3 linked regions of the Yarrowia lipolytica genome follow. The protein of the gene in region 2 binds, or shares a complex with, the protein of the main gene of each other region. Links are inferred from orthologs where the notes say so. Each region holds a gene or a part of one and is shown on either strand. Other genes may lie near its edges.

Region 1 (2,186 bases), on a different chromosome or scaffold from region 2:
TCAAAGTTGGACCAGAAATGGCAAGTGGAGTATCCGCCAGCCTGGGCGTTCCAGTCTGGTCTGCTGGGGTTCAGCAAGAATTGCATGGCATTGTCTTTGTGCAGATACTCCTTGTTCTTCATCAAGAAGGATTTAGTTTCCGGCCATAGGGTGGCAACGGTTTTGGGGTTGTCAAACAATGCAATGGTGAAGCCATACACCTTGTCATTGTCCTCCATGTATGCAAATACATCGTAGTCGATGTCACAATAGTATTGGGTGTCGGGTTCAACGCGCCAGTACCAGTCATAATCGTCCATGGCCTTGTGCTTGTAGAACATACCCGAGTTCCATCTGCACATCTTGTGGTAGGAGTCCATGGCACCATATCGTACACCAGCATCTTCCAGCTTCTTGCCGGCCTTCTTGGCCTTGTCCTTGTCGATCCATCTGGGGGCGTCCCAGTCCTTCTTTTCAATCAGCTCAAACTTGACTTCAGAGTCAGTCTGTTCGCGCACCTTTTCCTTGAACTCGTCGGTGAACTCTTCATCATTGAAAAAGATCCAAGGGTAGCCGAATTTGTGATTGAATGTGTCCTCGACCTGCACCATGGCATCCACAATACCGTCCAGCTCTTTGTTTCGAACAAGAGAGATAAGAGCGGCTTTAGTTCGCCGCGTGTCAGTGGCGCGAACAAGAGGCTTGGCACTGACAGGCTCGTCCACCTCTTCAAGCAGGGGATTGTTCTTCGGCGTTAAGTCCTCTTTTGGTTCCGTATATTGCAGGAATGCATCGTTGGGTTGCTTGTAGATGCTCTCCTCTTTCAAGAAGTCCGCATGTGTTCTGGTCCAGTCATCTTGTAACGAGAAGTAGATCAGGAACACGAGCAGACCGAGCGAAGCCGTCACCAGCAGCAGGAATAGTCTTCTGACTATCAGCGGGGTCATATTGTTAGGATGTGGTCCTGTCTCAATCGATTATAGTTAATAAACCTGTCGCGACACGCGAACACTAATCTAGTGTGGGCGTTGTAAATATGTCCCAACCAGGAATCGAACTGCGGGATGGAAAATTCCTCTTCCATACTTGGTGAGAACACAGATACAGAACACACACCTCATCACACAATGTTTGGGCCTTTTCGACAGTCTATGGTCACCTTTGGTGGCTACGTCCAGTGAGTATCATATATGAGCGACACGAATGAAAGTGTTGCCTAGCTATGCGGGATTTTCCAGCCACTCAAACATCATCTAACCATCAGCAAGCAGCGATACCGATGGAGATTGTCTCCTACACAGAAGGCTGGCCAGCGAAAGCGAATGAAGGCCGTCGACTCAGTCATGGATGTTCTGCGATCTAGCATGGAGAAGCTCGGCGTCACTCCCAAGTTCCTCATCAAGGCTGAGACCGAGTGCCCTCCTTCTTCGGCCATGCTCCCCAAGGACAAGTACACCGTTTTCAGCAAGAACCACAAGGGTTACCGAAAATCCGTTCACCGGGTGCCCAACTTCACCAAGACTACCAACCGAAAGAATCCCCTTGGTTTCTAAAATCCCAACTATTGGCCCTATACACTTGTACATATTAAATTATCTGGTATGATGGGAAGATCCAGCTGTGGATCCGAGTGCTGAGATTAAAGGGAAGTAATGTTATTCATTGAAAGTACAAGTACGTAGTACTGTACAAGTCATTGTAGTGTAGCTAGTTCGTAGATTTTAGTTACAAATACTATAATGTTTCCGCTCTATCCGTAACACTTCTGTGTATTTGCATGTGGTAACAAATCTTTTGGAGCAAAATTAAAGAGATGGTATACTGACATGATTGTGTTGATATTAAGCTGATGTTACTGTAGAGGTGAGAACACACTACAAGTACAAGTACAAGAATTGGTAAGAAACTATGGTTATGCGACCAGCACCCTCCACTATTGTACATCTCTCGCAGTAGCTACAAGTAGGGCGCATACTGTAGCATATCAATTTGCTACAAGTACCGACTTCACTCTGCTCTCATTATGTAATTATAAATTAATCGTCTATTTAAGTAATGCTCATATGACCCAGCCAACATTTTTTTCACTTCTTTCGCTCAGCCTTCCACTTGTAGCTGACATTTCCATCCTTGACCACCTTCTCCTTCTCGCCTCCCTTAGCAAGTTCTCGATCCAGATCCAGACGATGCTCCACGATCGCCAGCTC
Region 2 (2,282 bases):
ATGGCATCGACCAGTGAGTAACTCGACCTTGATTCTCAGCTTTTCACCCACTAACACAGCCTACTTTTGGTTCAAGCCAATCATCATGTGAGTATAGGAACTACGAACCGGCTGCTCGAAAAAGAAACAGCTACAACAAGCGCGTCAGCTACCAATAACCATCTCAATCAACAGCTAACCAAGTGAACAGCTGGCAATCGACGGAAACCTCAAGCCCGGCGTCAAGATCGATCCTGAGATTGCTGAGAGCATAGAGGCTCGAAAAGCTGCTCTGGCGAACGCCCAGAAAGTTGAGATTCCTAAGGGCGGTCCTCTCCCCAAGGATGGAAAGGAGTAATTGTGCATATAGACAATTGATATGTTAACTGAGTGGACTACCCATGATCCGAGGACGTGGTGAGTTGACAAGGGGTATGAATCTGATGTAGTGATCTGGGGTAGATGATCCACAAAACAGATGCAGCAGTTAGATATCTGAAGCCATAGAGCTCATGTCCGTCCTCTATGATATATATACAAGTTGTATTCAAAACATACTGTTTATGTAGGTGCCTATCTCGTCTCGCTACCAGCCTCCACAACCCTACACTCTTCTTTCACCAACCAACCAAAAAACATATATACATCATATTTACATGAGACTGGGCAGACTTATGCCGGATCTGATTATTTGTTCATCTTGGAGACGAAGTTGTTCTCCTGCATAATGGCCTTGGCTCGAGCCTTCTGGGCCTTTCGGGCCGCTCGCACGGGGTCGGCAGCAAGCTTGGCTTTCTGGGCCGCGGGATCAAGAATGTCCCACAGCCACTGGGGGTATTCTGAGTCCTCCAGGGCCACGGGGTCCTGGCCGTTCTTTCGCACGTTGCAACCCTTGAGAACGGTTCCTGCGGCGACGCTGGAGGGCACCTTGGGCTGCGAGGGGGTGGAGTATGCACGCGAGATCACACGGAGGGGGGTGGCCCGCGATCTGGTCAGGAGTCGAAGCATGTTGTGTGTAGTTGTGTGTAGTGACGTTTTTGTCGTTTTCGATATGCTAAGTTTTTCAGTTGACGAGGACCATGCTGAGGGTTAGGGATATGAGGGAAGCACTACTTGTGGTAGCCGGCAATAAAGAAGTGGCTAAAATGGATATATGAAGGGCTGCAAGAAACACAAATACCCGCGAGTGGTTTTTCCGACGTGTTTTGGAATAGTTTCTCACCAAAAAACAAAAACAAACACAAAAAAACATATCGTAATACTCACCCATATTCCTCTTACACTCCATCGCTGAATAAGCACCTTAGAGACGCACGAGTTTAAAAAATTGTGAAGTTGGTGCAGAGTGAGAAATCAAAGAACTTCATAGACATCCTTAAGAACACACAAAACCACGAAACACAATGGCAAAAATCAAGCGAAAAGCCAAGCACACCAAGCGAGACAACCCCATCGCCCGAAAGGCGTCCCAGGCCGCCAAGGACGACCGCAAGGATGAAAACACACGAACCACCAAGATTCTGCCTCTGCTAGAAAAGCTCAACGGCGGCAAGCCCGCAGACAAGTGCACTGCCATTGGAATGATCACAGCTATGGTCGAGGATCCTAAGCTGCGACAGATGCTTCTCAAGGAGTCGCTCATCCAGACTGTGATCGACAAGCTGCTTCCTGACGCTTCCGAGGAGGTTGTCATGGAGTCGTACGGCCTGCTGCGAAACATTGTCCTGGAGGAGGGCTACGACGTGGCCGTGTTCATGTTCCGAAAGAACGTCATCAAGATTGCATCCGACTCTCTGGAGAAGATTGTTTCCACCTGCCAGAACATTGCCAACGGCTCCCAGCAGATCCCCAAAGGAGATCAATTCACTCTACTGTGCGAGTTTGCCGAAAACATTCTGTCTCTGCTCACCAACATGGGCGTGACTTCCGATGACATTTTCGACGCCATCGCCTCTTCGCCAGCTGGCGTCCAGACCGTGGCTGCTCTTCTGGAGCTGCGAAAGACCAAGGCTGAGTTGAATCCCAAGTTCCCCTCTGCTGTGCTCTCTGCTGCCTTTGAGTATCTCTACACCTTTTCCGAGTCTAACCCCGAATTTTACAAAACCATTCCTTTCGACTATAAGATCTACCTCGAGGATACCACTCTACCCATCGCTGCCCAGGTGTTTGTGTGGGGTCTGCACTACAACATCTGTGTCGAGAGCCAGGGAGTAGGCTCTAAGGGCCGAGACGCCTCTCTGTCCGAGATTCTGTCGCGACTGCTCATCATTTTCAACTCTAACTCTGCATTTGCCGACCTGCAA
Region 3 (2,647 bases), about 1.1 Mb from region 2:
TCTGTCTATCTGCGGCAGTACATGGGCCACATGCTGCTGGAGGCCTTCCCTCATCTGACCGAGGGCCAGGTGTCCAACTTCATTGAGGGTCTGTTTGCATTACACAAGGACTTCCCCCGGTTCAAGCTCAATCTGCGAGACTTCCTGGTGCAGATCAAGGAGTATGGCGGAGGCAACACGGAGCATTTGTACGCCGAGGACAAGGAGCGGGATCGGGTCGAGGCCGAGCGACAGAACAAGGAGAAGGCTCTCAAGATTGGCGGTTTGGTCAAGCCCGCCGATATGGACGAGGATTTGTAGATCATGAGCGGAGCCAAAGATCCGAGCAAAATTGTAAGTGAGACCATCCATATCATTCAGTAAATATATTGTTGAAAATATCTGTGTACCATCGTACGATACTAGTACGAGTATTTGTGCCCGTATACTTGTACTTGTAATAGTATCTTGTATGTACAACTACTTGTAGCAACGATTCGCCTGGAGAGGGCTGTTGTCCACGACCTTATGCGGTTCTACAAGCCATCTATCTACCCCGTCGATTCTCTGTTATCCGCTTCCGCGGTTATTGCACTATGCGATCTATATACATTTATTCAGGGACCAGAGGACCGAGTCTGGACTTGACATCATGGGCGGCCACGCCGTACATGTTTCGGGCGTCGCTGAGCTTGACAATCTTGCCCTTGGAGCCGGGGACCATGCCCTTGACAATGACAATTCCGGTGTCCTCGTCAACGGATAGCACCTTTTGGTTCTTGAGGGTGACGGTCTCGTTACCCATGTTTCCGGCCATTTTTCGTCCGGGGAACACTCGTCCAGGATCGGTGTTTTGACCGGTAGTTCCTCCGGATCGATGCTTGAGCGAAACACCATGGGAAGCGGGCAGACCGGAGAAGCCGTGTCGCTTCATGACTCCGGAGAATCCCTTACCCTTGGAGGTGGCCTGGACATCGACGTACTGGCCGACCTTGAAGTGCGAGGCAGTGATCTCGGTGGTGATGGGAAGAAGGCCGTCCTTGCCGCGGATTCGAAACTCGGCAACCGCCTGCTTGGGGTTGACGGTGGCGGCCGAAAACTGGCCGAGTTTGCTCTTGTTCATCTTCTGCAGCGCCTTGTTTCTGTGTCCCATTCCGACCTGGACGGCGTTGTATCCGTGCTTCTCCTCGGTCTTGTGGCCCACCACCTGGCACAGATCAATCTCCAGCACCGTGGCGGGCATGTGCACGCCGTTCTCGTCGTACCACGAGATCATGCCTCGCTTGAACGCCAGAGCTCCGGTTCGAGACACCAGCTGCTTTCGGGCGTAGGCGGCCGCAGGCGAGTTGTTTCGAGCGGGAGCCTCGGCGGCGGGGACGTTGGCGTTGGGCGAGATGAGCTGGGCCACGCCGCGGCTGAACACGCGCACGGGAGTGGCCTCTGCCATGAGACGGAGTCGAGGCAACATTTTTGTGTGTGTGATCAGATCTGGGTGGTGGTTCTGCAATGTCAAAATCTTGGGAAATTTCACGGTAGGGTAACTTTGAAGCTAGGTGGGAGGACCAACCTGCGTTTACTTAGGAACCGAGGGGGGGTAATGACAACGGCTGAGAAAGAGCTGAAATACCATGGTGGACTCTGCAAGTTGATTGCCGGTGTCATTTTTTTCAATCCCACACTTTTTGGTGCTGGTTTGAAGTCATCTGTTTCCTCGATACAATTGTAGCTATTTCTCAAGTAACGCTGAGTCTGTTTGTTAAGTAAGTTAATCTGAGGTGAAAGTAATCTTAAGCGGACAGTATGACCATCGATAGGGGTCTTTTTCCCCCCAATTGCCCATAAACCAACCCACATCTACAGTGCAAATCTCTCTGTTAGTTCTTTCCGGTGCAACTTGCTCCCAAACACCTGCTACTGGTGGTCTTTGGAGAGCTCCTTCTACCCACACCCATACAAACTATAAAAGCAAATATACCGTACGTCTTACAATATCAGAGCAGTCCACCACACACCTCGCACACACTCACACAATGCTTCGACTACTGCGTCCCCAACGAGCTCTGCCTTCGTTGCTGCGACCTCTCTCGGTCGCCCGACCCCTGTCCACAACCAGCCGTCTGTGGCTCCACCAGCAGTCGACCGACGCCAAGAAGGACGACGAAAAGCTGCTGCCCGAAGACCGAAACCTGCGACGTTACGAGGGCCACACCTTTGAGCCGTTCACGCCCGAAAAGGTGCCCAATGCACCTGTCACCGTGGACACGGAGCTGCCTAACATTACCAGCCACAAGATGCGCCGATGGGCCGGATTTGGTCTGTTTGTGGTCATCATGACCGTGTCTCTGGCCTTCTCCTTCAACTACGAGAAGATGTCGTCTTCGCAGGTCTCATCTTGCATGTACACGCTCCGAAAGTCGCCCCTGGCCAACGAGGAGCTGGGCTCGGGTATCCGATTCGCCAGTGCCTACACCTGGGTGTCGGGAACCATTCGTCCTCTTGTTGGAAAGGTGGACTTCTCCTTCCCCGTCAAGGGAAACAAGGCCGAGGCCATCATGCATTTCAACTCGCGACGAGCCTCCGGCCGAGAAAAGTTCCGAGTGCTCGAGTGGTCTCTGACCTTCCCAGACGGACGAGTCGTCAACCTGGCCGACTCACTCATTGATCCCCT

Evidence for each region.
Region 1: YALI1_F24126g (region 2) and YALI1_E02415g share a complex: the UniProt entries of both Schizosaccharomyces pombe proteins name them as parts of the mitochondrial large ribosomal subunit. The link is inferred for Yarrowia lipolytica from reciprocal best matches to the Schizosaccharomyces pombe genes mrpl37 and mrpl31.
Region 3: YALI1_F24126g (region 2) and YALI1_F13602g share a complex: the UniProt entries of both Schizosaccharomyces pombe proteins name them as parts of the mitochondrial large ribosomal subunit. The link is inferred for Yarrowia lipolytica from reciprocal best matches to the Schizosaccharomyces pombe genes mrpl37 and mrpl9.

The regions. Positions count from the first base shown.
Region 1 is NC_090774.1:240,460-242,645, forward strand, and holds YALI1_E02415g (mitochondrial 54S ribosomal protein mL60), read left to right. Parts: upstream 1-1,106; coding exon 1,107-1,156; intron 1,157-1,243; coding exon 1,244-1,532; downstream 1,533-2,186. Other genes in the region: YALI1_E02413g (uncharacterized protein), read right to left, coding at 1-926; YALI1_E02432g (uncharacterized protein), read right to left, coding at 2,064-2,186. UniProt on the Schizosaccharomyces pombe protein: Component of the mitochondrial ribosome (mitoribosome), a dedicated translation machinery responsible for the synthesis of mitochondrial genome-encoded proteins, including at least some of the essential transmembrane subunits of the mitochondrial respiratory chain.
Region 2 is NC_090775.1:2,411,626-2,413,907, forward strand, and holds YALI1_F24126g (mitochondrial 54S ribosomal protein mL54), read right to left. Parts: upstream 988-2,282; coding exon 667-987; downstream 1-666. Other genes in the region: YALI1_F24115g (uncharacterized protein), read left to right, coding at 1-13, 60-87, 184-337; YALI1_F24130g (uncharacterized protein), read left to right, coding at 1,383-2,282. UniProt on the Schizosaccharomyces pombe protein: Component of the mitochondrial ribosome (mitoribosome), a dedicated translation machinery responsible for the synthesis of mitochondrial genome-encoded proteins, including at least some of the essential transmembrane subunits of the mitochondrial respiratory chain.
Region 3 is NC_090775.1:1,359,072-1,361,718, reverse strand, and holds YALI1_F13602g (mitochondrial 54S ribosomal protein uL3m), read right to left. Parts: upstream 1,448-2,647; coding exon 593-1,447; downstream 1-592. Other genes in the region: YALI1_F13644g (uncharacterized protein), read left to right, coding at 1-300; YALI1_F13597g (uncharacterized protein), read left to right, coding at 2,010-2,647. UniProt on the Schizosaccharomyces pombe protein: Component of the mitochondrial ribosome (mitoribosome), a dedicated translation machinery responsible for the synthesis of mitochondrial genome-encoded proteins, including at least some of the essential transmembrane subunits of the mitochondrial respiratory chain.